Saccharomyces cerevisiae S288C: one gene and its partners. The gene in region 4 interacts genetically with the main gene of each other region. Each region holds a gene or a part of one and is shown on either strand. Other genes may lie near its edges.

The links.
Region 1: mutations in STR2 (region 4) and MCH1 together harm fitness more than expected from each alone (negative genetic interaction), as found in Saccharomyces cerevisiae (2 studies listed by BioGRID).
Region 2: mutations in STR2 (region 4) and MRX21 together harm fitness more than expected from each alone (negative genetic interaction), as found in Saccharomyces cerevisiae (2 studies listed by BioGRID).
Region 3: mutations in STR2 (region 4) and COX23 together harm fitness more than expected from each alone (negative genetic interaction), as found in Saccharomyces cerevisiae (2 studies listed by BioGRID).

Annotation. Positions count from the first base shown.
Region 1 is NC_001136.10:357,469-365,532, reverse strand, and holds MCH1 (Mch1p), read left to right. Parts: upstream 1-4,247; coding exon 4,248-5,708; downstream 5,709-8,064. Other genes in the region: KNH1 (Knh1p), read left to right, coding at 1-465; tRNA maturation protein LHP1, read right to left, coding at 754-1,581; 1-acylglycerol-3-phosphate O-acyltransferase SLC1, read left to right, coding at 1,950-2,861; PBP4 (Pbp4p), read left to right, coding at 3,277-3,834. UniProt on the Saccharomyces cerevisiae protein: Probable transporter. Does not act in the transport of monocarboxylic acids across the plasma membrane.
Region 2 is NC_001148.4:579,902-587,369, forward strand, and holds MRX21 (Mrx21p), read right to left. Parts: upstream 4,142-7,468; coding exon 3,161-4,141; downstream 1-3,160. Other genes in the region: DNA-directed RNA polymerase I core subunit RPA135, read right to left, coding at 1-1,295; MRA1 (Mra1p), read right to left, coding at 2,472-2,657, 2,801-2,833; CMR3 (Cmr3p), read right to left, coding at 4,731-5,684; YPR014C (uncharacterized protein), read right to left, coding at 7,288-7,468.
Region 3 is NC_001140.6:339,861-346,755, reverse strand, and holds COX23 (Cox23p), read right to left. Parts: upstream 5,092-6,895; coding exon 4,636-5,091; downstream 1-4,635. Other genes in the region: histone methyltransferase SET1, read right to left, coding at 1-713; ORC6 (origin recognition complex subunit 6), read left to right, coding at 1,128-2,435; protein channel TOM71, read right to left, coding at 2,488-4,407; ubiquitin-conjugating protein DMA1, read left to right, coding at 5,397-6,647; BZZ1 (Bzz1p), read right to left, coding at 6,772-6,895. UniProt on the Saccharomyces cerevisiae protein: Required for the assembly of cytochrome c oxidase.
Region 4 is NC_001142.9:660,583-668,752, reverse strand, and holds STR2 (cystathionine gamma-synthase), read left to right. Parts: upstream 1-1,615; coding exon 1,616-3,535; downstream 3,536-8,170. Other genes in the region: MNS1 (mannosyl-oligosaccharide 1,2-alpha-mannosidase), read right to left, coding at 1-1,109; EFM3 (protein-lysine N-methyltransferase), read left to right, coding at 3,734-4,753; YJR128W (uncharacterized protein), read right to left, coding at 5,473-5,832; RSF2 (Rsf2p), read left to right, coding at 5,694-8,170. UniProt on the Saccharomyces cerevisiae protein: Catalyzes the formation of L-cystathionine from O-succinyl-L-homoserine (OSHS) and L-cysteine, via a gamma-replacement reaction. In the absence of thiol, catalyzes gamma-elimination to form 2-oxobutanoate, succinate and ammonia.

The DNA of each region.
Region 1 (8,064 bases), on a different chromosome or scaffold from region 4:
ACAGCTATCGGTTACACCATTCATTACACTAACAGATTTAAACTAAAAGGGATGATTGGTACAAAAGCCGCTAATCCGAGTATGATAACCATTGCACCAGAGGCACAAACAAGAATTACCACAGGAGATGTGGGTGCCACGATTGATTCTAAGAGTTTCACCGTTCCCTACAACTTACAAACAGGTGTTGTGAAATATGCTCCCATGCAACTCCAACCGGCTACTAAGGTAACAGCAAAGACATGGAAAAGGAAGTACGCGACCAGTGAGGTAACGTATTACTACACTTTAAGAAACTCCGTTGATCAACATACTACCGTAACACCAGGGTGGTCATACATAATTACAGCTGATAGTAACTATGCTACGCCGGCCCCTATGCCGGCTGATAATGGCGGTTGGTATAATCCACGCAAGAGACTCTCTCTGACTGCAAGAAAAGTTAATGCTTTGAGGCACAGATAATGAAATAATACAAAAAAAAAATTTATGAAAATGGACAAATCGATTTATTATATTCGTTAACATTTTTTCTGCTTAATTATTGTTATTCTATTTTTTTTTTTTTTTAAATGGATGAGCTGTATTCCATTTTAACCAGTAACGGTAATTTTTAATACTAATAAAAAAAGGAGACAAATAATATAGTATTAGTTGTAATTCATATTGTGTTTCTGTTTAGTACATATGTTAGTACATATATTCTTAATATGCTATGATAATGAGATACGAGAACCAGAAGAAACACAAGAATCACTCCTTGTGCTCCTCATCGTCATCGGCAATGGCAGAAGAGTCCTCTTTTGACTCTTCCTTGCCGTTTTTCTTCTTATTTTTGGGGAATTTAGGCAAGTTTTTCTTCTTATGGCCGTTAAAGGATCTTGATCTACCGCTGAAGTTTTTGGACTTCGAGGCCTCTCTCTGTAAATCAAACTGTTTTTTCGTCAAAACACTCAGTTTCTTACCTTCATATGACAAAATTTCGTTGGACTCATCGTCATTGGAATACGATTTCAAAAAAGCTTCACATTCTGGAATTGTCTTAAATTCCACCAAGACCGTACCATTAAATTTCTTGTTTCTGTGATCTCTTCTCAAACGCACTTGGTTGATTTCACCTAATTTTTTGAAAAAGGCTTCCAAGTTCTCCTGCAATTCAGGAATTTGGGAAGCTTCAACGTCCTCATGTGGGAAATTCATTACAGCCAAAGTCCGTTGGTTTTGCTCAATTCTGGCATTTCTGGCAGCAGTTAGGTCCAAAGGAACACGTCTCTTGACGTTCTCTCCATCAGCAGATACTTCCAAAATTTCAGAACTACGTAGTGCTTCGATAACCTTATCCACTGGTCTATATTTCTTCATACGGTTGAATGTGGCGATGGTGCTGATGGGGACCCATCCATCGTTTTTTTCCGCTGTTGTGCGCAAGAACCTGTCATATGGAAAGTTGAATTCAGAAAAGTAGAATTCCACTTGCTTTAAACATCTGTCCAAGACTTCTGGAGTAAATTCAATCACAGCAAATGAATTACGTCTTGATTGTGGTTTCTCTTGCTCCTCTTGTTGTGGTTTTTCAGACATTACTTCTTTGCAGATGCTACTTTAGTTCCAGTAGAACCAAATAGAACCCATTTTTTGGAAAAAGAAAAAAATACATCATAGCGATGAGATGCGACTCTGTGCTTTTGATTTGGTTGTAATTCAAAAATCTTGAGATATTGCGATGAGGTTGGGCTGAACACATTACACTAAGACGAAGACGAAAATTTTTTCACGGTCACGAGATGGATCTCGTGAATGATGATATCAATTATGCTTCCTTTGTTTTGTTGAGAATATGGTATGGTGTTCAAAATACTTATATTAGGAAGGGTTTAAGGTGAAGGGGGAATTCTTCAATAGAGAAGTTTAGTGGTTTCCCTCCGTCAGTGAATTCGAGCAAAAAAATAATGAGTGTGATAGGTAGGTTCTTGTATTACTTGAGGTCCGTGTTGGTCGTACTGGCGCTTGCAGGCTGTGGCTTTTACGGTGTAATCGCCTCTATCCTTTGCACGTTAATCGGTAAGCAACATTTGGCTCAGTGGATTACTGCGCGTTGTTTTTACCATGTCATGAAATTGATGCTTGGCCTTGACGTCAAGGTCGTTGGCGAGGAGAATTTGGCCAAGAAGCCATATATTATGATTGCCAATCACCAATCCACCTTGGATATCTTCATGTTAGGTAGGATTTTCCCCCCTGGTTGCACAGTTACTGCCAAGAAGTCTTTGAAATACGTCCCCTTTCTGGGTTGGTTCATGGCTTTGAGTGGTACATATTTCTTAGACAGATCTAAAAGGCAAGAAGCCATTGACACCTTGAATAAAGGTTTAGAAAATGTTAAGAAAAACAAGCGTGCTCTATGGGTTTTTCCTGAGGGTACCAGGTCTTACACGAGTGAGCTGACAATGTTGCCTTTCAAGAAGGGTGCTTTCCATTTGGCACAACAGGGTAAGATCCCCATTGTTCCAGTGGTTGTTTCCAATACCAGTACTTTAGTAAGTCCTAAATATGGGGTCTTCAACAGAGGCTGTATGATTGTTAGAATTTTAAAACCTATTTCAACCGAGAACTTAACAAAGGACAAAATTGGTGAATTTGCTGAAAAAGTTAGAGATCAAATGGTTGACACTTTGAAGGAGATTGGCTACTCTCCCGCCATCAACGATACAACCCTCCCACCACAAGCTATTGAGTATGCCGCTCTTCAACATGACAAGAAAGTGAACAAGAAAATCAAGAATGAGCCTGTGCCTTCTGTCAGCATTAGCAACGATGTCAATACCCATAACGAAGGTTCATCTGTAAAAAAGATGCATTAAGCCACCACCACATTTTTAGAGTAGTATATAGACCCAAAAACTGTAATTATCTTTTTAAAAAAGTAAAATGACTTACGAATGATTCTGATGATTTTATTTATTACGACTCATATACCCAGCGTAAGAAGTGATCAATAGACCGCTACTTTATTCGGAGAAAGAGAAAAGAACTTTCCATTGTAATGTATATATAACACCAGGCATGTGTCAAAAATGTGAGACTAAATAGAAAGAAAAATACGAGGAACAACAAATAATACGATCTTGTGCATATTTTTTCCCTTTTTTTTTTTAATTCTTTTTTTCTGAAATTTTTCATTTGTTCACTGTTTAATATCTATCCATTTTTGTTTCCGAATTTTCATTAACTTTATTACTTATTTACGATACAATTTTCCCTTTAATCTAGTACGAAATGACAACAACCTCAACAACCAGTGTAGATGGCAGAACCTCCTCGACTTTGAAGGCTACTTTATCTGCTTCAGGTCCAAATTCAAATGGTCCAACGCCCGCTGTGCTTCCTCAGAAGCCAAAATTAACAGGTTGGGCGCAGGCAGCTGCCAAAGCCCTTCCAAGGCAACAGCAACAGCAACAGCAGGCACGAAAAGATGATTCCGTGGCTGTACAACCTGCTAATACGAAGACTAAAACCATCGCATCTACCGCGCCGCCTGCTAATATAAAGGGTAGTTCCACCGCCAATGGATCATCCACAAATAAGAAATTTAAAAGAGCGAATAAACAACCTTACAATAGAGAAGAAGTTAGATCGTATATGCACAAATTATTTCAGAGCTATACCGCTGGTGAAAAAAGTCATTCAATGAAAACTTATAAGCAAGTACTATCAGAAACGGCAAGTGGCAGAGTTTCAACAGCCACTGACTGGGGTACTGTATCAAGCAGTAAAAATAAGAATAAAAAATACGGCTGTTTGTCCGATATTGCTAAAGTTTTAAGAAACCAATGAGAATATCGAAGCATCACGTTTCATAACGCAAAAAGGAGTCAAACAAAAAATGAAGTATGAAGTCAAGAAAACGAAGAAAAGAGGAAAATAGAAGAAATGAAAATATTATTTTACAAGCGTAAATAAAAATTTTATAATTCATAATGTCGAAAAATGTATACTGTGTTAAGACGCCTTTCTTTGCTTTTTCTCTTAGTCTTTATTGCATAGTTCACTTAGCCTTTCCGATGCTAGCGGCTTTTCGCATCGTTCGGAAATTAGTACCTTTCTTTTTGCCCTACAAGAAAAACTATTATACAGTGTAAATACAAGATAACAGAGACCGCTACTCAGACAGCAACTTCTAACGTTTCATCGAGACTAGTTTCCTTTCATATCATTTTATAGCAATAACCATTTTCCAAGTGCAAATCATGCCTCTATCAAAGGTGGAGCACTACCTTTCATACCATACGCGCTTACTCTTACCCCATGTTTTGTCTCTTCAGTCATCACATCGTGTTGCATACATCTTTTCGCTATTATCTGCGGTGTCAACTGGCTTCATTACTTTGATATCTCTTTACTCTCAACCGTGGCAGAAACATTTAAATTATTCCTCATGGCAAATCAACACCATCGCTAGTATGACTAATTTGGGGATGTACTTGACGCCACCAATCTTGGGGATGATCGCTGATTCTCATGGCCCCATTACTTTAAGTCTTTTAGCCATCATAGGGTTCATACCTAGCTATTCATATCTGGCTTACGTTTTTAATCATCCGGAGTTATCTCTCGGAGGAAATGGTGACTCATCATTCAATCTATCCATCATTTGTTTCGTTTTCATAGGTATATCAACAAGCGCTTTATACTTTAGCGCTTTACTGACATGCACTAAGCTATATCCTCATACAAAACTACTATCCATTAGCTTACCAACGACATGTTATGGTATTTCTTCTGTAGTCGGTTCTCAACTGCTAAGAATCAAATGGTTCTGGTCCTCTAACGCAAGTTCTTCCTCGTCCAATAGTGACTTAAACCTGGGAAGAGTATTCCAAACATTTGCCCTCGTTTATGTCGTTATTGGGCTACTTGCATGGATAGCCACCAGCGTGGTATCACTTTTGCATTTTAATGAAGAGCAAGACAACCAAAAACGGCTGGATGATCAAACTGATGTGGAACAATCACCGCTGTTAGAACGAAGTAATCATGTTCAAGAAAAGTTTACGCAGACGATGCTAAGGATCTTTAGTGATCCTGTGACATATATCCTAGCGGTATCAATTTTGTTATCACTTGGGCCCCTCGAGATGTTTATTGCCAATATGGGATCACTGACTAACCTGCTAGTCCAATTAGATGCGCCAACCTTATCTACAAAGTTGTTATCCACATACGCGCTATCTTCCACTTTTACGAGATTGCTCACAGGCATAGTGGCAGACTTCTTCGCCAAGAAAAAAATATCAATTAAATGGATCCTGTTGACTTTCCTTTCATTAGGGGTATGTGCACAACTGTTTTTATTGAAAATGACCTCTTCAGCGTCACCCTGGGGGCTAGTACCTACAGGATCATTGGTTGGAATTGTATACGGTGGACTTTTCACTGTTTATCCGACGCTGGTCCTGTTAGTATGGGGCGAACGCTCATTCGGGACTGTTTACGGTAGCTTACTAATTGCACCTGCTATAGGTTCTATGATATTTTGCATGTTGTATGCCAAATTTTACGATTCTCGCTGTATGAGTGGCGGAGGAGATCTGCGAAATCCGTCCTGTATTTCGGCTGTCTACAAGTACAGCAGTATCGCATTCGTTGTATCCGCTGTTCTTTCAGCTGTAGTATTTTGGAAATTAAAAAGTAGAAAACTCAGAATTTAAACAAAAAAGAAACTGCTACATTTATTTTTTTTAAAATTCATAGCTTATATAAATGACACCAATAAATTGCACTTATTTCTTTTATGCTATGCTATTGTTTTTGATACCCTTTTAAAGGTACCGGTTAAAAATTGAGAGAAAAAAAGAAAGAACTCCTCATAGGGGGCTCGAACCCCTGACATTTCGGTATCCTTGCTTAAGCAAATGCGCTTAAAAGCCGAACGCTCTACCAACTGAGCTAACAAGGATGAGTTCTTCGGAGAATCCTGGACATAAATTTGTCCATGTTATTTTAAAGTTTTATCAGATTTGCACTGGTCTTTACCGTTCCAACACTTTGTACATGTTGATAATAAGAATAAAATATCATCCATCGACTGCTATTCTTCATATCAATTGTACATTATCATATATGATGTAAGGTGATTGGGAAACAGTCATCAGATCTTATGGAAAATAAAATGTGAAGATTCATAATATGATAGGGTAATGAATGGCAACATATAAACGAATAAGAAAATCCGCTTCTAAAAAGAACGGAATTCACCAAGTATCCCAACATTGACCCATTTCTTATGCTTACATATTGTTATTTTTTGCCCCTGTCTTAGTAGCAGAGCTTTCGTCACATGTTCAACTAAATTCCAAACAGTTGAACTTTTTGTTCTACTGATCTTGTAATTCATGCTTCCTTCTATGCAACACGCCATACTAATTTAGTAGAATGAACAGTAACTGGTGAACGATGACTCTGTAGTAGAATACTATAAAAAGGTGGCATCGTATAAAGGTGCCTTCTTTGACCCTTGGCAGGTAGGGCGGCAACGGCACAATGATATTTTATTTAACAAAAAGATACGCTAACACCGCATCTGAACACGTAATACTACTATATGACTTGGAACAAATGGCTAATCAATAATCACATATGTTCGACCGCTGCAGGAAAAGAGAAAAGAAAGCAGTTTCTACAAGCAAGAACTTGGAAATACAGACAAACCTCCAGTACTTTATTAGGATTGTCCATTCCTCACCCAGATATGTTAAATTCGATACCAATGTGTTTTGATTCACGCGCAGAAAGAAGGACTTTCCCTGCTCTGCTCGGCAAAAACATACACGTTGTCGACCGAGCACGACTGCCGTTGTCGAAGCCACCACTGTCACTTCTCGTTTAATATCTTTAATCGCATCATCTATAGTTCCTAATTCTGCATTCCTAACACTGTAGCCTATCCAGCAAAATCATTCCCATTTTCTCTTTATATGTGCCTAGATTTTAAAATTTTGCTTAAGATGATTTACATTGAGGGGGGAAACTTGCTTTATCCGCTCCTCCAATTGATTCAAGAAGTATGGGCGCTGACCTACCATCTCAATTTCTTGTTTCACTCGAGAATTGTCACTGAGATAGTAAATGTCTAGAGAATCCTTTGCAACAGGAGATTTCAAATTTATATTCTTTGTGTTCGCATTCGCTTCCCGTCTGTTACTCGTTCCCTTACCATTCTATTATGCATTGCAGATCTGCCAAGTAAAAAAAAAAATACCTTGGTGTACACACCACCCATACATTATCTGACAAGGAAACAAAAGTAATGACAGTAAATTGAAGAACTTGTGATGAGCCAAAAAGAAGAATGTGTGCACTTCTTTTCGTATTTTTATGGTAAAGCCAGTTGGTGGCTTTCTTTGACGATATGAAACCCAGGATCCCATGCTGCCTATGTTGCATTTATGTAATTGTCTGTATGAAGCTCGCATTTTAGAGTTACTACTATGTGCTTTCTATGCAGTTGCTTGCCGCAGCCAAGACGTAGAGATTTCTTAGACGTGCTTTTTATTTCTTATGAAAGTAAAGAGTGTGTATACAACGAACTATGTTAATAATTAGTAGTACCAGAACATTGACTTTCGTAAGGACCAAACGGCATCCCTATCTCGGAAGAACACCACATGATGCAAGTTCTCCTGCCTACGAATAGTTCGTCAGGTGCCAGCACTGAGACCACCCAAACTAAAGGCAATCGAAAACTATACCACGTTTATCGTTATGTTTCGGCGGCTCACCTTGTATCAACCTGCTTGGCAAGCTGCTCTGCGAGGCTCCATTTTTTTACATTTTCAAGAGGAGTACATTTCACCTTAAAAAACGGCACGGAGAAAGCCTAAACTTGGTTGCATATACGCAATTACAAATCTTTTATAACTACTTCTGATTCTGTGCACGACGTGCCACCCGGTACAGTTCAAAGGTCACTATACGCACTGTCGATCGAGCCAACCCAACCCACAGAACATCCTAAAGCTTCAAATCGAAACGCGTACAGTCAGCATTCTTCATGCTGCACCCGAT
Region 2 (7,468 bases), on a different chromosome or scaffold from region 4:
ATATCCATCCTGACTTGAGCAATAATATTCTGTAAGTACTCATCAATCTTTTCTTTTAGGATCATACCATATAAGAAACCACCCAAAAGAACTTCTTGATGTTGCGTAGCATCTGGGTTATCTGGAGAACATTCGCCTGCAACCAAGGAATACAACTTTCTGATCATGAACAATAACATTCTGAATTTATCCTGGCTGCCATCCTTACCCAAATGCACGAGAACGATGCGATCAAGGACTTCTTGTCCGACTTCTAAATCAGATTGATCAGGGGAAGCTTGAAAGACAACACGAAATTTGTCTCCTAAATATTGCAAGACTTGTGTGCGATTTTGTAAATGAGGATATCTTTTCTTAAAACCACGTAACAGTAATTCTAAACGATCGGTCAAAAAGGAATCCTTAACGTCATTACCAATAATACCATCAAAAATTTCCCTATCGCTGGTATGACACAAGGCTTTTAAAATCATAACAACAGGAACTAAATATTCATTTTTTCTCCAAGAAAATCTAAATGTAACTTGACCGTCATTTAAGTAATGCAAAACATTAGTTTGGGAAGTTTGATCCGGCCTGACAGATCTAATTTGAATACCGTAATGAGAATAGGATGCACCCCTGTTAGCGAAGGAAGGTCTGATGATAGCCATAGGATGATTTCTACGTTGCACAATCAGCATTCTAATAAGCTTTTCTATACCGTTAACAATGAAATAACCACCTATTTCATCGGATTCTTCCTTGTGTTGTACCAGTTCATATGGTGACATCTTGTTCAAGTGACATCTGTTACTCTGTAGCATAACTGGTAGACCACCACAATCTCTTACTTCAAATAAGTTCTCCTCGCCATTGTTCACGGACCACTTCAACTTTAAAAGTAATTTACCTCTGTAAGAAGTAAGCCTTTGTCTTGACTCACTTGGGTAAACTTTTCTCTCTACTGCAGAAGAAACACCATCGTTAGACATTGGCTTCGCAATAGACACTTGTTCCACACTAACAGAAAGCTTATTCCCGAGGTATCCGCTGTTGGATATTTCGTCTTCAGAATTGAGTGGTTTTCCATCAAATATAACTTTTTCACCGATGTCTTTAACACCAAGATTTAACAAACCTCCATCCGGACCTTCTGTTAATGCGTTAAAAGACCCAATATGAGGTTGAACAGCTTCCTGTAATAGTGGAAATGCTGATTTATCCTTAGGTGGATTGATGAACCTAGATTCACGTTCTAAGGTACGGAAATCAGCAGTTCTGGCTTGGCCAGGCGGCTTAATCACTTTGCTCATCTCACCAAATGCGTAATTCTACGTTTATTTGTCAATATTCTTGAGGAAGACTTGCTTGAATATTACGAGACAGCTGAAGTAAGTTTGAATAATTAAGAGATGAGATGAGTCTCTAAGATGCGCTTGAAAAATTTTTCATACGAAAAAAAAAAAAAAAAAAAAAAAAAAACACTCGCAAGAGTAATCTCAATAATAATTTCCGTCATTAGCGATTATAGCATGAAGGGAGGCCGAGAGGCCGCTTCTGCGGTATGATAATTAAGTGGTAGTGCAGAGACTCAAAAGGGCGCTGAGAATCTATTAGAAATGCCATTAAGTGCTTTGAACTCTTGTAGCATGTCTGCTTCTGTAGATATAACACTCTGATGCAGATTTATGAATAATTTCATCACTCGATGTCATCAGCGTCTTCCTTCATTTGATGCTTTTTTGAAGTTTTCATGGCATGATTTAGCATTTGAAATATAATGAGAAAAGAGCCCTTTAACTTACAGAAGTAAATGTACAAAACTTAATCGGAGGAAGAAGCTTAAACATACAAAAACAACAGCAGGATGACTACAAAGAAGCCGTTAAACAAATCTTTTTGTCTCCGTTACTAATTCACTAATATAGTAATTTTGCTAACCTCTATCGTCATTGAAACTGATTTGTCCTCGAGAAGGCAACAATCAAACTGCAAAAGAAACGTAAAGCAACGACTTGAACAAGTAATCGCTAACCACATATTGAGATAAGCAGATAATCGCTGTTAAACGTCGTTGATACAGTCAGTCAATATGAATAGTGTAGTATTTTATCGTTAGGTTCACCTTCCAAATATTCGTTAGATAAAGATGTTTCGGTTTTTTATTTCAACAAAAGAGCCTTGTTGGCGCAATCGGTAGCGCGTATGACTCTTAATCATAAGGTTAGGGGTTCGAGCCCCCTACAGGGCTTTCTTTTTTATTGCATGGTCTATCATCAGGTTCCCTTAACCGCTGCCAAGAAAGAGCACGTGTAAAAATGGAATGATTATACATCAATTAAACATATAGTCATGGTGGTGTTGACATGTATATAATATACATTAGTTTTGTCATATTTGAAGAATAAATAATATTTCGATTTGTTCCCGACAATTATTGAAAATGTTTTAAGTGTAGATATTAATATAACAAATCATCAACATGGTTTTTAATCCTTATCTTTGGCAAGGACTTCATCTAAACTAGATAATTCTGGGTTACCTGTCAATCTCAAAGTCTCGTCAGTTCTTAATTTCTTATATGTGAAGTATGTCCCAGAGCATAAAGCTACACCAACAGCGAGAAATAACGGTGTTAATTCGACGGGTATTTTGTAGCCACCAGATGTTTTTTTCTAGTTTTTTGTTAGTATAATACTCTATAATCTTGTAGTTAGCATTCATAATCAACATAATTGTTTTCTTAGAAAGCATCAAGTCAGAATGAACGCATGATTATCCGTTTGTCACAATAAAAAGAAAATATCCCTTAACATACAGCTGTATTCAACAGTAACTGTGCTGGTCTCATTTTTCTATATTTTTCTTTTTTTAAAGTATTGTCAGAAGTCGTTCAGGAAACTACCAAAATTAAATAAGTCTCAAAACAAAGTTAGCTTATACTGGTATGGGAAGAGTTATAGTTGCTTTTGAGGAGATGGCGATGCCTTTAAAGTCTGTTCTCATGCTCATCATAAAGTACGGGAAATCCCCCGCTTTGTACGATATGATTGGCCCATACTGCAAGACCGATATAAAGAAAAATAGACAAGTTAATGCTATATACAGGATGTCGTTCTTCAGCGGAGGGATCGCGTCATTACTTGGTTTTCGCTGACCCAAGCCTGTCACCTCAAGCTCACCAATTTCTTACAGAATCACATACAACTTCGTAAACTAGCCAACTCACTGCAGTTGAAGGAACAACTTTAAAAAGGTTTGCAGCTAAGCCTTTGTAGTAACCGCTAACGCCTTCTGCTCTGCCGATTGTCACGAGCGCATCCCAGACACTCGTGTATCTAAATCCCAGTTCATTTCCGCCCATTGCGAGAACTTGAAATCTTCTTCTTAGCAGATCAAAGGGATAAGTGATTGTTTGCGCAACCCCTCCACTTATGGCGCCAATTGTTAATTTATAGAGGTTACTTTTCCAGGAAGGCTGAGCATCGGAGGAATTGACACCGAATTCTCTCAATTGTTCGTAAACTGCAAAGTTTAGTGCTACATATGGAACAACACCAAGACTCGTTGGCCATACACCCCTATATAATCCCCTGAGACCGCCTTCGAGTCTGTAAGTTTCGCTTAGTAATTGCCAGATCCCCGGAGGCTTTGATATACTTTTTGCCTTTGAGCGGTTTAAACTGCTCAAATTTGCTGTCTGAATCGATAGTCTTGTTTTGATCAAGTCCAACGGGTAAGTAGCCACCACACTACAACCACCACACAATGCACCACTGAATAGTCTTTGGGTGTTCGTTAGTTGTTCTTGTCCATTATTGCCATTTACATGGAATAACTTTTTCTTACAAGCTTCGTATACTACAAACTGGACTGCACTATAGGGAAAAATTCTTATGCAGTTCAAACCATTTCCTCTGAATAAACCTTTGGTTCCCTCCTCATGGTAAACCTGCCGTATAGAGCTAAAGATACCTCGGTTATAAGAAGTGGTTGAACTTTGAACTTGCAGCAGTATTTTAACTCTCTCAAAAGGTGAAACAACGGTTCGGGAAACCGCGCCAGCTACTCCACCAGCTAGAAACGCAATATTTGAATCCTGCTTGAGAAAATCTTTAATTGAGTTCGGCTGCTCGAGGACGGTCAGTACTTCTGCCATGTTAGCGAAATAACGATTAAAAAATTTGAAAGTCAATACTATGAAACAAGGAAACGAGCAACTTGGTATACTTCCCTCACCTTTGTTAAATTCACTTGGCCTTACTGGCAATCATAATCATTTTGACGAACTGCGGACATCGAGAGTACCCTGCAAATATATCTAGAAAAAGAGGTAAAAAAATATTGAAGGGTCAACCTGAAAAAAATTGAAAAGTGAAAATAGATCTGCTGATAAATAATGCACGGCTTGCATCAAGTGATCACATGGAACTTTCCCAATACCTCAACTACGCATTTTCCCTTGCATATTATATCATCATCCATCTTCTTTGCCTCTCATATATTTACGAAATAATACATAAACATAAAAACGTCTTTGTGCGTCCAAGTAAACTTGAAGACGCACTCCCGTTATATAAAACTGGGAAGAACACTAACAAAGAAGGTGACTTGCGCTTAATTAGTTTTATTCCCTTGCTTCTAAAGTCCGTAAAACATTCTATTAGAGTCTATACATAGTTTTGCCTTACCTTTGAATATGAGTTCTAAAAATTCCATTGCAATAAAGCTTTCCGTTCCTATTGTTTCTATGTAGTGTTTAAGACTTTGTTTCTTTTCCTTTCATGGCTTTTCAAATGTCTCAGCATATTGCTTTTCACATTGAAGGATTTTGTGCAACCCTCCCAAGTACATTTGAAAGGAGTATCTCCCGTATGAATTAAGTAATGTGTCTTCAGCGTTGAGGGCCTCGAACAAATTTTTCCACATACTGGGCACTGCTTTCTCAGCTTTGTGGATGATATTCGGGTGTCAGTTTTCCAATCAGAAAATGTTGCTGAACCGTTCAACACGGCACCAGGTTCGCTTTTTGTTCTGCCGTTACTGGCTTCCTGCATGGTTGGAAGTACGCCATACCCAGGTGGGACTGATTTTGGCCTATCGTGGCATAGCTCTAAGGCAGCGTTTGGGTGACTCGCCATTGATATTGCAGTGAAGTTAGGTTCGGAGGCAATTGTTATTGGTTCTTTGTCGTATGGTGTCAATGGTTTATATACTGTTGGGACCATGACTGGCATCATCAAGGGAGCAGAGGAGGTCAAATGAGGAGACTGGCTATGTGGTATTGGTTGCTGACTTTCCGTATAGTAGATAGGATATTGATCAGATGTTGCGTTCATGGAAATTGGGGTGTAGATCTCATTAACAATGGGTACAACATTCATGCTTTGATAAACTTGCTGTGGAGGGAATTGAACCCTTGAATCTACGTTAGGTGGTGTATTATTTTCAAAATTAGGCAAAAGGGATGAAATTGGTGGTAAGTTTATTTTCGTACTATTATAACATTCCCGTTCATTTTTGTAGCTATTGTGGCCATAAAATTGAGTCCCCTTACCAGTGCTCAGCTGATCAACTGCGGACACTTGAAGGGGGAGGTTCGATTTATAATTGACTGTACACATTCCTATATTAGGAGATCTTGACTTGTCTGTATATGATGATTGTTTTTCTGAACTTTGCTTTGAAAGGGAAAAATTCATGTAATTTACTTTAGTGGCGTTTACTGCTATTTTTCGAAGGTAGGTGATGAACTTGTGTTATAACTAAGAAGCTCAAAACTAAAAGTATACTAATGTTTGAGGAATTATTGTGAAGCCATAGAACAATAAAAAGCTAACAATTGTATCTTTCGTTCAACTTGTCAAACCCTGACAGGCATATAAAAGAGGTATTTTGAAACATCAACATGTAGTAGTCACATATATAGCAAAATAGTAAGTAAGGAAAAAAAGAAGGCACAGAGAATACAACAATAATGATGAAGGCACACGACTGCCCTTTCCGGGCCACCTGCAGATCTGTAAGGTAGTTCAAATGACGTTCTCGCGCGGGTTTCTTACTTATGAAACTTTAGGGACATAAGTCGGGAACCTGATGCATCATTCTTTATCTTGTTTTTTGTTGTTGTTTGAGTTTCTTGTACAGAATAATACGCAGAATTAAAGCGGAAGTTAAAAAACAGATCGTCTTGATCTGCCCTCAAAACCAGTATCCACTGAAAACCTTATTTCCCACCGTAAATGGCAATCACTCGTAGCTCAAGGTGGAATGCTCCCGTAAGGATATTTCCTATATGAGATAGTCCCGATCCTGAGAAGAGGGATCGCCGTCATTTTATTCTTTAACCCCGAGAAACGGCATCTCTCACCTGATTGTTCTCAAGATTGCTGCAAAACCCAGATATACTTTTAGGTACGGAGCGTACGCGATGTATATGGATTGATTTTCACATGTATCGTTTATGAGTACTTGACTGCACCTCGTGTCGGAAGATTTTCCAATCGGGCTTTTTTTCAATCTTGAAGGCCCTCCTTTTCATTTCCATTTGCTCTGACATTGCGGCTATGCATCACAGGCAAAAGCTGAAAAGGAAATTTTGTAGCGTATCGGTTTACTGCACAGTCTCAGACCCTTTGTAGTACTGTTACCTGGAAGAATAGTAGGTGCGTACAACAGTGATTATGTAGTAGTATCTACTGAAGAGCCTACGAGCGAAAAAAAAAAAAATTATCGGCTACATTACGTTGTTTCCTACGGAGACAAGAACCAATATAAGCTGCAAAAAATCTATGAGCATTTTAAGTTTCCGATACAACAAGATGTATGCGTACTATTCACGTCGTGTTATATTGCTCACGTAACAACTTCTATGACAATAATAAAAAATAACCTTTCCATTGTATCATTAAGGTTATCTACGGAGGATTGTCAAACCTAGCGGATATGAAATGTACTTGATTCCTAATTCGGGTTTATTTAGAGTTCAGACTATGTGGGTCATTTCTTATGCTAATAATAGGCACTGAGGTAAGTCAAAATAGCGACACTCAATTACTGTTGAATGGGAAGAAAAAACCGAGAAAGGGATACAGAGATCTTGCCCACGCCTTTTTTTCAAAAAGAGCCCTTCGCAAGGTTGCTCAACGGGATTGTCATAGAAAGAAAAAATCAAAGCCAATAACTACAAGGCCAAAAGTAATGGTAGGGAGCTACTACAAAGTGGGCTCAGCCTACCTGAAGAAAATAAACAATTAATGGACAAGATCTGTTAGCGGACATACAAGAGATCAAATTACCTTCTGGTTAATGCTGTAGGCGAAGCAAACCATTCAATTGAGGAAACCTTATTCCCAATTGCGCTTTTGCTCCCTGGAAGCCTATAACAGCGTGTGGGCAAATAAAGTTGTTTTTCGCCCTCAGCGACTTTACTTCGGAAACTGAAGAGCGGCTAGAAATTTCGCAGAAAAGATTTTCCTTTGAGGAT
Region 3 (6,895 bases), on a different chromosome or scaffold from region 4:
TCATAAGATATGCGAGGCAATAGAATTAGTGAGTTCCTGCATTTTCTGTGGGTTGCCACTTTTCCGCTAGTCATGATACCGTTTTCATTACGTGGGTCGGATGCTTTTATCTCCGGATGTCTGTGTTTTATTTTGAACTTAAACTGTCCATCTTGTAACTCTTTGACTACGTAATAACCTGTTTCAGAAAATTCTTTATCTGTAGCCTTCCACGAAAGCATCTTATCCTTATTGAAGAACTCGCCTTTTATGGGATCAAAATAATGAAACTTAGACTTCAAATTATCTGTGTTGTATCTCAAAACTGAAGGTGGTCTTTGTTGCAAAAGCAGAGCAGATTCTGTGGGAAGAGATCCACTCGAAGACGCTAATGTATTGTGAACATTGCTATTTGAATACCGTGATTGAGACATGCCCCTCCGACTACTGATGTCAGATTTCTTATTTACATATGGGCCGCTTTGGCTGTTGTTAGTAGCATAGTACTGTCGCGTACTTGCATTGTTTGAACTATGTGGGCGATCGTCATTATAGCGTCGCCTTGTACCATCATTATGGTTATAACGTCGACGTTGATTATATTGACTAGAATATTGTTGGTGAGAATGGCCGTTTGAATACTGATAGTGACCAGAACGCGAATATTGAGGCTGTTCCTGGGGTTGTCTGTATGAACCAGAAGACGCGTGTGCTCTTCTATAGTAATTTGACATTCTCTAAACGCAGAGACCTCTTATAAAGATTCAACAAATAAGGAATGTTACCTATGCTAGTCGCAACTCTCTCGTAAGTTGAGGGTTGCTAACAGAAAAACGATGAGAAGAAACTTTTGAAAAATATTGTGTGAAAGCAGCACGAAACAGAGTATGAAAAAAGAATGCGGGCGTCCGTAAAGAGCTAGAATCGCAAGTGTCCAGAATATGCAAGGCTTTCGAATACACTCCTCACGCTTCTCTTCAGCAAAAATCAACTCTTTGTGATAAAACTGTGTATTTCTTTGTTCTTTGCCGTTGTTTACGTTAGTAAGAAATCGGCATTGAAAAAAAAAATCTCACACTAAAATTGCAGAAAAAAGTGTACAATATCAGTAAATAAAATTGGCCAAAACAATACCATTAAAACCAGTCATGTCCATGCAACAAGTCCAACATTGTGTCGCAGAAGTACTTCGACTAGATCCACAAGAAAAACCGGACTGGTCGAGCGGATATTTGAAGAAGTTGACTAATGCGACATCGATTTTATATAATACTTCACTGAACAAGGTAATGCTGAAACAAGATGAAGAGGTTGCTAGATGTCACATATGTGCATACATAGCGTCACAGAAAATGAATGAAAAACACATGCCTGACCTTTGCTATTATATAGACAGTATTCCCTTGGAGCCGAAAAAAGCCAAGCATTTAATGAACCTTTTCAGACAAAGTTTATCTAATTCTTCACCTATGAAACAATTTGCTTGGACACCGAGCCCCAAAAAGAACAAACGCAGTCCAGTAAAGAACGGTGGGAGGTTTACTTCTTCTGATCCGAAAGAGTTGAGGAATCAACTGTTTGGTACACCAACTAAAGTTAGGAAAAGCCAAAATAATGATTCGTTCGTAATACCAGAACTACCCCCCATGCAAACCAATGAATCGCCGTCTATTACTAGGAGAAAGTTAGCATTTGAAGAGGATGAGGATGAGGATGAAGAGGAACCAGGAAACGACGGTTTGTCTTTAAAAAGCCATAGTAATAAGAGCATTACTGGAACCAGAAATGTAGATTCTGATGAGTATGAAAACCATGAAAGTGACCCTACAAGTGAGGAAGAGCCATTAGGTGTGCAAGAAAGCAGAAGCGGGAGAACGAAACAAAATAAGGCAGTTGGAAAACCGCAATCAGAATTGAAGACGGCAAAAGCCCTGAGGAAAAGGGGCAGAATACCAAATTCTTTGTTAGTAAAGAAGTATTGCAAAATGACTACTGAAGAAATAATACGGCTTTGCAACGATTTTGAATTACCAAGAGAAGTAGCATATAAAATTGTGGATGAGTACAACATAAACGCGTCAAGATTGGTTTGCCCATGGCAATTAGTGTGTGGGTTAGTATTAAATTGTACATTCATTGTATTTAATGAAAGAAGACGCAAGGATCCAAGAATTGACCATTTTATAGTCAGTAAGATGTGCAGCTTGATGTTGACGTCAAAAGTGGATGATGTTATTGAATGTGTAAAATTAGTGAAGGAATTAATTATCGGTGAAAAATGGTTCAGAGATTTGCAAATTAGGTATGATGATTTTGATGGCATCAGATACGATGAAATTATATTTAGGAAACTGGGATCGATGTTACAAACCACCAATATTTTGGTCACAGACGACCAGTACAATATTTGGAAGAAAAGAATTGAAATGGATTTGGCATTAACAGAACCTTTATAACATATCCAGTATTAACTAAAAGTATATATTTGACCAATACCTGACATATCTTCTAAAGCATGCCTTTAGCCCTATAACGAGCTAATGTTAGCTCCATCTTTGCACTTATGATTGGATCAGCCCTCAAACGCTTTTGTATCTTTGCAGCTTCCGCGAAGGTAGTAGCTTGAAGTTTTTCATCCATAGTTCTTGCTAAAATTGCAGAATCTTCAAACAATTCTATGGCCTCGTCAATTTTTTCCATTTGTAATTTTAGTTGTGCTAACCCGATCTTCGCTTGTTCAGATCGTGGATCTAATTCACAGGCTTTTGTCAGCAGCTTAATGGCTGCGTTGAATTTCTCTTCATCCAACTGGGTTGGATCTTGAGAGGATTGTCTAGCTAATATAGTTGCTTTCCCAATCAAGGGTCCTATACCCACATGTATTTTTTCTTGCACTTCTTCCAACCTTTTAGCAATATCATATTGTTTAATTGCAGTATCAAAATCGCCCCTATCTGTCAAGATTTCAGCGAAAAAGGTGGGCACCTCAGGTAAGGTAGGAAACTTCAACTTTGTTTCATTGAAAAAAGCTTCAGATTCGGTAAATTTACCTTGCTTGTACAACAAACAGGCTAATTGAATGTAGGGATAAACATTTTCAGGGTTCAAGCTTTGGGCCTTTTGGAAATCTTCCTTGGCATTTTTATAATCTTGTAGAATAAAATACATCTGCCCACGGTGGTAATAGGTTGGCGGATACTCAGGGTTTAGATCAACAGCTTTTTGGAAAAATTTGAAAAATTCTTGAGAGTTTTCTTTATCGGCCAAGGTCAATGCCAAAAATATGTACGAATTTGGTGTTGGATGCAGGTTTATAGATTCTTGTAAAAGAACTTGGGCATCTAACAGGTTATTTTTTAAGAAATGGAAAATACCCGTGTAGCACAATGCCAAGGCAGCATTCTCTCTTAAAGGATCGTCCACTGTATTTGCAGAAAGTAGAGAGTGGTACATGTCAGTGGACTTTGTTAAAAGATCGTTTGCTACTAAGTAACCTTCATCTGTTGCAGAATATAGTCTTTGCAAAGCATCTGACAATAGAGCGTATGCAGTATCGTAGTTTGAACTGGTGTTCACACTAGAAACTTCTAAGTGAGAGTCAAAAATCCCAAAAAATGACGCCAGAGATGTGTTAGACGGCAAAACCTGCGAGCCTCTGCCTTCATCCTTCGATAGGTTTTCATTTAGTACTTTCATTGCTTGCTTATTTAAATTTCTTTCCAGCATAGGTTCAATGGAGGCTCCATCAAAGTCACCATTCAATGACAAAACAGATAGATCAAACATAGCATCAGTGAAGTTGCCCAGTGACTCGTTGGCAGATGCACGTCTCAGCAAGGCTTTAGAATGGTCAGGTTTTATCTCAAGTGCCTTTGTAGTGAACTCTATAACCTTCTCTAAGTCGCCCGTAGAAATGTAACAAGCAGATATGTTGGAATAGAACACTGGTTCATTCGGGTCCAGCTCAATGGCATACTGGTAGTATTTGATGGCCTCATTAAAATTCTTAGCAGTGAAGAAGTGGTTACCTCTGTTCTTCAGTTGCACGGCATACGCTTGTCTCTGGGAGGGTGATAGGCCTTTCAATTGGGCAATATCAGGCTCGCCATTGGGCAAGGAGGGATAGTCAAACCCTTCTCCCGATTTTGCCTTATTGTTCCTCTTGCGTTTATTCTTCTTCTTCTTCCTCTTATTACTTCCACTTACGACGCTGCCGTCGTCCTTTAAGTCCGCCTCGTCTTCATTTTGACCAGCAAAGGCCTCACTTTGACGTCGGTTGTCTTTTGTACCCTTCAATTGCTGCTGTTGCTGCTGCTTAATTTGCTGGTAGTAAACATAAGCACCCACAGCAGCAGTCCCCGCAGAGACCGTTGCTAGGATGGCCACTTTGTTCTTGGTGATAAACCTCAGGAGGGAGTTTTCGGCCATAAGAGCTTCTTATGTTCGGTATATACAAGTATGTAGAGATATATACAAAAAATTCTTTATTCGCACTTTGAAAATCCAATTTAGCTTGCTTATTTACATACCATTGCGAATTAGTTTTTCACATTGCACTAGAGTGTGCTGTGGCTGCCTGTCGGAACACTACGTCGCGTAGTGGCGATCTATATAGAAAACAGATCACAGCTGAACAAACAAGAAGAAAAGGCTGCCTCATTCCCACTGCTGTCTGTTTTTCCTCCTGGCTGTCAGCCATTGTTTCTTGCATTCGCGGTATGCGTCAAAATATTCTTGGCACTTGGATCGGTCGTAATCGTTGCGCTCGAGGCACTGAAAACTGAGCTTGGAGGACTCCTCACAAGGATCATAGTACTGACTGTCAGCCTTTAACGCGAATTTATACTTATTGACCGGGTTCTCCGGGTCGTCTGGGTAGTATTGAAATGACGACGGATCGTCGCTCTTTGGTACATAGTTGACTTTGGTTCTGTCCGTTACGGGTCCACTGGCCGCTGGTGGCGTGGAAGACGAAGATGGTTGTGAATTGTTGCTGCTTGTAGAGCCACTGTTGGTATTTGTGGTATCCCTATTATCGTTGGTCATGGTCATACCGTTGGAGATAGTGGAGAGACTACTAGTTTGCCGCCTGGTGGGGCTGGGCTTCTCCATTCTCTTTAAGCGCTCTCGTGAGAGAATATCACTGTTTACGGCCCACAAAGAGAATGAGAAAATTGATAAACCTTAGCATTGGGATCAGCAGGAGCCTTAGAATTCTGGGTGTGAACAGAAACACATTAGTGCATTAGTGTATAGGTTCGATATTATTCAAAGAGGAACTCGGTGTACGGCTCAACTGTAAACCGTACTTCTCGTTCTTTGTTCACTGCCCTGTTTCTGACTCTTGTGCCGTGAGCTTTTCTTCTTACAGTGTCGATTTCCTGTGCACATACGTTCTGTATAGTGGTTATTCCTGGATGTCTACTAATACTGTTCCCTCATCTCCCCCAAACCAGACGCCACCTGCTGCTTCTGGCATCGCTACCTCTCACGATCACACCAAGTTCAACAATCCCATCAGACTACCGATATCCATCTCTCTCACCATTAACGATACGCCTAACAATAACAGCAATAATAATAGCGTTAGCAATGGTTTAGGTATTTTGCCCTCGCGTACGGCTACTTCTTTAGTCGTTGCAAATAACGGTAGCGCAAACGGCAATGTTGGTGCTACTGCTGCTGCTGCTGCCACTGTGGAGACGAATACAGCCCCCGCGGTGAACACTACAAAGAGTATCCGCCATTTCATATATCCTCCAAACCAAGTCAATCAGACGGAGTTTTCACTTGATATACATCTCCCACCAAATACCTCGCTACCGGAACGGATAGACCAATCTACTTTGAAACGCAGAATGGACAAGCACGGGCTTTTCAGCATTAGGCTAACCCCGTTTATAGATACTTCATCCACGTCTGTGGCTAACCAGGGTCTTTTCTTTGACCCCATTATCAGGACTGCGGGCGCAGGCTCGCAAATTATCATCGGAAGATACACCGAAAGAGTAAGAGAGGCAATTTCCAAAATTCCAGATCAGTATCATCCCGTAGTGTTCAAATCAAAAGTGATATCCAGGACCCATGGGTGTTTCAAAGTTGATGACCAAGGAAACTGGTTTTTGAAAGATGTCAAGTCTTCCAGTGGGACCTTTTTGAACCACCAGCGTCTATCTTCTGCGTCTACCACTTCTAAGGACTACCTTTTACATGACGGAGATATCATACAGCTGGGTATGGACTTTCGCGGCGGGACGGAAGAGATATATCGTTGTGTTAAGATGAAAATAGAATTGAACAAGTCTTGGAAATTAAAGGCCAATGCATTTAATAAAGAAGCCTTGAGCCGAATAAAAAATCTACAGAAACTAACTACTGGTTTAGAACAAGAAGACTGTTCCATTTGTCTAAACAAAATAAAACCTTGCCAAGCCATTTTTATATCACCATGTGCCCATAGTTGGCATTTTCATTGTGTAAGAAGATTGGTTATTATGAATTATCCTCAATTCATGTGTCCGAACTGTAGGACAAACTGTGATTTGGAGACTACCTTGGAATCCGAATCTGAATCCGAATTCGAAAACGAGGACGAAGATGAGCCAGACATTGAAATGGATATAGACATGGAAATAAATAACAATTTAGGTGTTCGCCTAGTAGATTGATCACATGAAATTTTGTGCTATATATATATATATATATATATATATATATAACATAGAGTCGTCATACCTCTCAAAAAAGTGGCGGCCAGGGAAAATATTTAATAGTTTCAGTTCATTCCTTCGTTCATTTACAGTAACTTGTAGGAAATAGACCTTTCAATCCGTCACATTCACCATATGTCCACCCGCTACCGTCATCGCCTCTGATAACAGTAATTATGTCCCCCGGATCAATTGAAATCTCATCA
Region 4 (8,170 bases):
TCAAGGGAAAGAGAGAAAAACGGACGTCTTCGGGCTTCATGAATAGAAAGGCCCTCAGTAGAGCCTGATGCTAACAATCCCCCCATAAAGCACACGAGGTGGTCCATCTTAGGAGAAAGTTGTCCATGTAGACCTTGTTCTCTTTCCCCAATGTACCACAGAGAAGAGGGTTTGGATTGTGCTAATAAATGCTTTTTCATACCTTCCATGGATTTTCTGTACAGATCATAATAAAGTGTTTCGTGCGTCAATAAATATTGTTTTAGTAAATACTCATAAAAAGAATCACCTCTTGATCCGAACCGGATAGTCGAAGCACCAAACTTCCCAGTATCTGGAAATGTATAAATTGGAACCAATCCATCGTAGGTATTTAGAAGATCGTTATTTTTGTATAATGGCTCGTAAACACGCTCCACCAGCTCCCAATAAGTACGATTTCCTGTCAAATACGCCAGATATTTGAATTCCATTTGTAGCGTAGTGAATTCTGCGGTAGAAGATGCCCCCCCATCTGCATGGTTCTTAACCGCTTGGCCACTATGAAGGTTTATACTTGAGTATGGAATTCCGGTCTGAGTGGATAAGAACGCCAAAGCAAGCCTATCCCCCAAATCTATTGCTTTGTTCAAGTAGACAGTCTTATTACCTACTTCTAAAACATCAGATAGATGATATGCGGATAATAAACCACCTAGCATTCTAATAGTAGTTTCAAAAACATTCACTTCGGCATCAATATCAAAATCCAAAACATCGTTTATCCAATGCTCCGATCTCTGAATTTCTGCCTCGAACTCACTTTTGTATAGTGTGGAGGAGTTATACATTAACATCAAGGTATCCACTGAATCTACGATAATCCAGCCTAACGGCTGGTTGCCACGAGGCATATTATGGGAAGTGTGCTCAATAGGTCCATACACATCGTATCCCCAGCCATGCTTGGAATAGTCTCTCCACGATTCCAAGAACATGCTTTCAATCCGATCTCTCATTTCTCCGGCCCCCGGTGACTTTCTCTCAAAGTGTTCGTACCATGGCACATAGTATATAGCTGCTATGATAGCAACAATGGTTGCAATTGAAATACCGACAGAGTTCTTCATAGAATCCTTTTTCAATGTTTAACCTTTTCCTCTTTTACTACCTTTTTCTGTCGTCTTTCGTTTCTTGGCAAAGCACATTTCTTTCATTCTTTCGTTTGGCGAAACTGAAAATTCCAAATAATTGCTCTTCCACAGAAAATGCGTTACAACCAAAGTGAATTTGTAAAAGTTTAACCCCACATTTTGCTACAGTCTTATTTAAAAATAGCAGTATTCATATTAAAATATCTTGCGGTTTAAGAACTCAATTAACTTCAATGATTGCCAGTGTTGTTCAGGTAAAACCCTTCAAACCTAGTAAATATGACTTATCTTCATGCGTGGATGTAAAAAACAAAAATCATGATAGCGCCTCTGCACTTCACAATATCTCGGTCTAAAAATTAGTCATATATTTTGGATATATATATATATATATACCCATATATATAACGATAGTAGAATGACGCTCATGTGCCGATTCGGGACCTACATAAACAAGAGAGAGAAGAGGAACAGAAGAAAAAATGATATCTAGAACCATTGGTGAATCTATTCCGCCCAACACAAAACATGCTGTTTCCGTGTGTTTGCCCACATGGGAAGCTACAGTAGGCTATGAAGAGGGTGAAAGCAGTATAATTAACTCGCTTACTACCGGATATCCAAGATTTTTCATACACAAGTCAATAAAGAAATTATGTGAAATTTTATCCGCTAAGTACTCCATGGAAGATGAAGCTTGTCTTTGCTTCCCCTCTTACAAGGTTGCCAATAGGTGCAGAGAGTTTATCAAAGTGAAAACGGGTCTTTCTACCAAAGTACGCATCTTACAACTATGTACACCTAAACCTATGAACCAAGAGGAAAAGCTCTGGAGAAGGGAATGTAAAATCACGGTGGTGTTTGTAGACCAGGAAATATTCCCCGTGATGAAGCAGTATTGGCAACATTCTGGTGAGATTGTATCTAGCAGAATGGCGGAGTATATTTTACATGAATTACAAGTCAAGGATAATCTTAAGAAGATGGAAACAGTGGATAACGGTAAAAAATTTATGACCGAAGATGAAAACAGAGTGAACGAAGAATATATAGAAACGAGATTTGGGAGAAATTTAAATTTTCTTGCTGCTGATAAAGCCAAATATCTAATACGAAAGAGGATTGCCACAAAAGTTGTTGAAAAAATTGACTCTGAAGGTCTATCGGACCTATTCTCTTTTGAACACTATAACGAGAGCAACGGTCCATTCAATGTTGGCAGTGGAGAGGCTCTGGATGATGATCAGTTGAATTCGGACATACCTGCCGAAACAATTACTTCTATGGGAGAAAGTGGCTCAAACAGTACTTTTGAAAACACAGCTACCGATGACTTGAAGTTTCATGTCAACCCTAATACGGATGTTTACTTATTTCCAAGTGGAATGGCGTCCATTTTCACTGCCCACAGGCTGCTTTTAAACTTCGATGCCAAGCGCTTATCAAGGTCTTCTAGTAGACAAGATAAGTTGATTGGATATGGACCTCCGTTCAAGAAGACCGTCATGTTTGGATTCCCATATACAGATACTCTGAGCATTCTTCGGAAGTTCAATCACACACATTTCTTGGGACAGGGAGATTCAACGTCAATGAACGCTCTGAAAAATATTTTACATTCTGGTGAGCAAATACTGGCGGTATTTATAGAAGCTCCATCGAACCCACTGTTGAAAATGGGAGATTTACAAGAACTGAAAAGGCTATCAGACTTGTATTCATTTTACATAGTGGTCGATGAAACTGTGGGTGGCTTTGTCAATATAGATGTATTACCGTATGCCGATATTGTTTGTAGTTCGCTAACGAAAATCTTCAGCGGCGACTCGAACGTTATTGCAGGATCCTTAGTACTAAATCCTAGAGGAAAGATTTATGAGTTTGCTAGAAAATTTATGAAGACTGAAGACGGATATGAAGATTGCCTATGGTGCGAAGATGCGTTATGCCTGGAAAGAAATTCGAGAGACTTCGTGGAACGTACAATCAAGGTGAATACAAACACTGATATATTGTTAAAAAGGGTGTTATTGCCTCAGGTGGGAAAATTGTTCAAGAAAATATATTACCCCAGTTTAACATCAGAGGATACCAAGCGGAATTATGACAGCGTTATGTCTACAAAAGATGGTGGGTATGGAGGTTTATTTTCACTAACTTTTTTCAATATTGAAGAGGCAAAGAAGTTTTTCAATAATCTGGAATTGTGCAAAGGACCTTCTCTCGGTACGAATTTCACTTTGGCGTGTCCATATGCTATTATTGCCCACTACCAGGAATTAGACGAGGTAGCTCAATATGGTGTCGAAACAAATCTTGTAAGAGTGAGCGTCGGTTTGGAAAATAGCGACGTTTTATGCAATGTTTTTCAGCGTGCCATTGAGAAAGCTTTAGGGGAATAAAGCCAAAATGTTTATATGTATTAGAAAACTCTGTAGAAAATTTTAATGCTGATTGTCCGGACACGACAAACAGCGAAATAAATACTAGCAGTTAGTACATCATCGCAAAAATGATGAAGAATGTATAAGTAAATGAAAAAGGAAAAGAAAGCAGAAAAATCGAGCTAGTAAAACTTGACCCTCCTCGTCAAAGATAACATGAATGAAGATCTATTCTACGATAGATTACATCAGCGGTGCCCTGGAAAATACTTGCTAGAAGAGTTGGAAACAAGCAAATCTAACGATGTCCTGCATGCATCGAGATTTGTTTGTGAGATGGAACTTGTGCAAAAGACGAATGCATATTATTGCAAAACCATAGTCAAGATGCTCTTAGACCACGAATGGATTTTCGCGAAGGCATTCACAATTGTCAACGATGGCGAAGACGAGATAGAGATATATGATTATCTCTATGAGAAGTACATAAAACTATTAAGCACAGGCAAGCCAGACCCGATGATGAAAGACGTCGTGAGGTACAGGTTTGACGAGGACGTAAAGATCAAAATTGAGGAAACACCGAATTTGATCAGTGCGGCCAGTACTACAGGTTTCAGGACATGGGAAGCTGCCTTATACATGGGTGATTTCCTTATTCATAAGCCCTTACAAGAGTTGGCACCGGTACAAGGACAAGACGATGGCAAGAAAAAATTAAATGTTCTTGAGGTCGGCGCTGGCACAGGCATAGTGAGTCTCGTCATTTTACAAAAGTATCACGAGTTCGTAAATAAGATGTACGTCACGGATGGTGATTCGAATCTCGTTGAGACGCAGCTGAAAAGAAATTTTGAATTGAACAATGAAGTGCGTGAGAACGAACCAGACATCAAGTTGCAAAGATTATGGTGGGGCAGCGATAGAGTTCCTGAGGATATAGATTTAGTAGTGGGGGCAGATGTTACGTATGACCCAACTATCCTTCCTGATCTATGCGAGTGTCTGGCCGAATGTCTTGCTTTAGACCGATGCAAACTGTGTCTCCTATCCGCGACAATTAGAAGCGAATCCACTGTCCAACTGTTTTCTCAAGAGTGCAATAAACTCGGGCTAAAATGTACCATAGTCACCAGCACAGAGTACGACGCAAACAACGAGATCCGCGCGATGAAAGCCCTGCAATTCAAACCTTTGATTGCACCCATACGGATCTACAAGATCACGAAACAATAAGATACATGTGCAAGTACAAGTTCAAAAATAAAACATAACTAAAAAAAAAAAGAAAAAAAATATAGTCATCTTCTGACACTCGAGTCTCATTCAGCTAATCAAAACAACTAGCAATCCACTCGAGTTCTTATAAATGACCCGGAAATTGATCTCTCCACATTACGCTTATCACGAATAAGACCGAGTGTTCAAATAAATAGCTCGATCTTCGTACTGTCTAATGCGGTGGATTAGTACTTTAGGACAAAGTTACTTTTTTTCGGAAGGAAACTTCAAAAATAGAATTAACAAATAAGAAGGAAAAGCGAAAAACAAATCTCATTGCCTGTGCTTTCTTTTATACTTTTTTTTTTCGCTCGGAACCTCTTGCTTATACACGGTTTTTTTCCACGGAAACCTCGGTTACCCTTCAATTACTGGAACGTTAGGGCACAATCTAACAAATATATATACTGGCTTACAAGATGTAACAAACTACGAATAGTGGTACGAAGCTTATCACATGCACCATTATCTGTAACTGGGTTGCCGCCAACAGCAGACTCATGGGCTGGTTGAAAAAATCTTGGAAAACAGAGATAAACAGCTCGGCAGATAACATTTCCTGCGACCTTAATGCTGCGTTAGGTGTAATTGTCGCAATTTGCGGCCGGCCATAGTTGTTCGTGCTACAATATATGGAAGAAGCAACTGTTTTTGAATCAACGGTAGTAACGACCTTATATCATCATACACGAAAATACGCACAGACGGGGGTGAACCACTCCAGGGGCAGAGTAGAGTGTACAAGGAAAATTGTGATCTCGCCGCACGGTGCTGCATCGCGGAAATTCTCCGTAGGGCAACGGATAAGGTAACTGCGTATGCGGCATCGACAATAGGTAACTACGCGAGCAACTTCTATTAAGAGAAATAATTTTTGGGAAATGGCCTGTTTCGGATGGAACCGTTCGCATTTGGACGAGGGGCGCCTGCATTATGCATACTAACCGCGGCCGCTCGAATAAATCTGGACAATTTTGTTCCGTGTTGCTGGGCACTTTTCCGTCTGTCTTTCTTTTTCCCGCTTGACCCTGCATATATTAGAAACGAAAACAAAGAAACAAGGACTTCTTGGATTTCCATAGAGTTTTTTTTCTTCGTTAAACATTGCCTCTCTCAACACACGTTTTTCTCGAAGACTCTTGCACCAAAAAGAAACTTTAGGGCGAAGAAGCTAAAAGACATTGGCGATACTAGAATAGATAGGGCAGATAAAGATTTTTTATTAGTGCCGGAGCCAAGTATGTTTGTGAACGGTAATCAATCTAATTTCGCTAAGCCCGCTGGTCAAGGTATTCTGCCCATTCCTAAAAAATCTCGAATTATTAAGACTGATAAGCCAAGACCGTTCTTGTGTCCCACATGCACTAGGGGTTTTGTCAGGCAGGAGCATTTGAAGAGACATCAGCATTCGCATACCCGTGAGAAACCGTATCTTTGTATCTTTTGCGGTAGGTGTTTTGCTCGTAGAGATTTAGTGCTCAGGCATCAGCAAAAACTTCATGCTGCTCTTGTAGGTACGGGGGATCCACGGCGAATGACGCCAGCACCAAATTCGACTTCTTCTTTTGCCTCCAAGCGGCGCCATTCCGTGGCGGCGGATGATCCAACCGACCTTCATATCATTAAAATAGCCGGAAATAAAGAGACTATTCTACCCACCCCGAAGAACCTTGCTGGTAAGACATCTGAAGAATTGAAAGAGGCCGTGGTTGCCTTGGCCAAATCAAATAATGTAGAACTTCCCGTCTCGGCCCCAGTAATGAACGATAAGCGAGAGAAAACTCCTCCTAGTAAGGCAGGCTCCCTAGGATTTCGAGAGTTCAAGTTCAGCACGAAAGGCGTGCCAGTTCACTCTGCATCAAGCGATGCTGTTATCGACAGGGCGAACACTCCCTCTTCCATGCATAAGACGAAAAGACATGCGTCTTTCTCTGCATCCAGTGCAATGACTTACATGTCTAGTAGCAATAGCCCCCACCATTCAATTACCAATTTCGAGCTCGTTGAAGACGCTCCGCATCAAGTCGGCTTTTCTACTCCACAAATGACCGCGAAGCAGCTCATGGAAAGCGTGTCAGAATTGGATTTACCTCCGTTAACCCTGGACGAACCACCGCAAGCTATCAAGTTTAACTTAAATCTATTTAACAATGACCCCTCCGGACAGCAACAACAACAACAACAACAACAGCAAAATTCCACCTCTAGTACCATAGTGAACAGCAACAATGGAAGTACAGTTGCTACACCTGGAGTGTATCTCTTAAGTAGCGGTCCATCTTTAACCGATCTTTTGACAATGAACTCTGCACATGCAGGTGCGGGAGGATACATGTCTAGCCACCATTCGCCATTTGATTTGGGCTGCTTCAGTCATGATAAACCGACAGTTTCTGAATTTAACCTTCCGTCAAGCTTCCCGAATACTATACCGTCTAATTCTACTACGGCTTCTAATAGTTACAGTAATTTGGCAAATCAAACTTATAGGCAAATGAGCAATGAGCAGCCGCTTATGTCACTATCTCCTAAAAACCCACCAACAACTGTTTCAGATTCCTCTTCCACGATCAATTTCAATCCAGGCACAAATAATTTACTGGAACCATCAATGGAGCCCAATGATAAGGATAGTAATATCGATCCTGCTGCCATAGATGACAAGTGGTTATCAGAGTTTATTAACAACTCTGATCCAAAATCTACCTTCAAGATCAACTTCAATCATTTCAATGACATTGGGTTTATTTATTCTCCACCTTCATCAAGGTCATCTATACCAAACAAGTCACCTCCAAACCATTCTGCTACCTCATTAAATCATGAAAAAGCTTCTTTATCACCTCGCTTAAACTTGAGTTTGAATGGAAGCACAGATTTACCAAGTACACCACAAAACCAACTAAAGGAGCCTTCCTATTCTGACCCTATTTCCCATAGTTCTCATAAGAGGCGTCGTGATAGCGTCATGATGGACTACGATCTATCCAATTTTTTCAGCTCAAGGCAATTGGATATTTCCAAGGTATTAAACGGGACAGAGCAAAATAATTCTCATGTGAACGACGATGTTCTCACTTTGTCTTTCCCCGGCGAAACTGATTCTAATGCAACACAGAAACAGCTGCCTGTTCTTACTCCTTCGGATTTGTTATCTCCGTTTTCTGTCCCTTCAGTATCTCAAGTGCTTTTTACCAATGAGCTAAGGAGTATGATGCTAGCCGACAATAATATCGATTCAGGAGCCTTCCCCACAACTAGTCAATTGAACGATTATGTGACTTACTATAAGGAAGAATTCCATCCATTTTTTTCATTTATTCATCTTCCTTCTATCATACCTAATATGGACAGTTATCCCTTGTTATTATC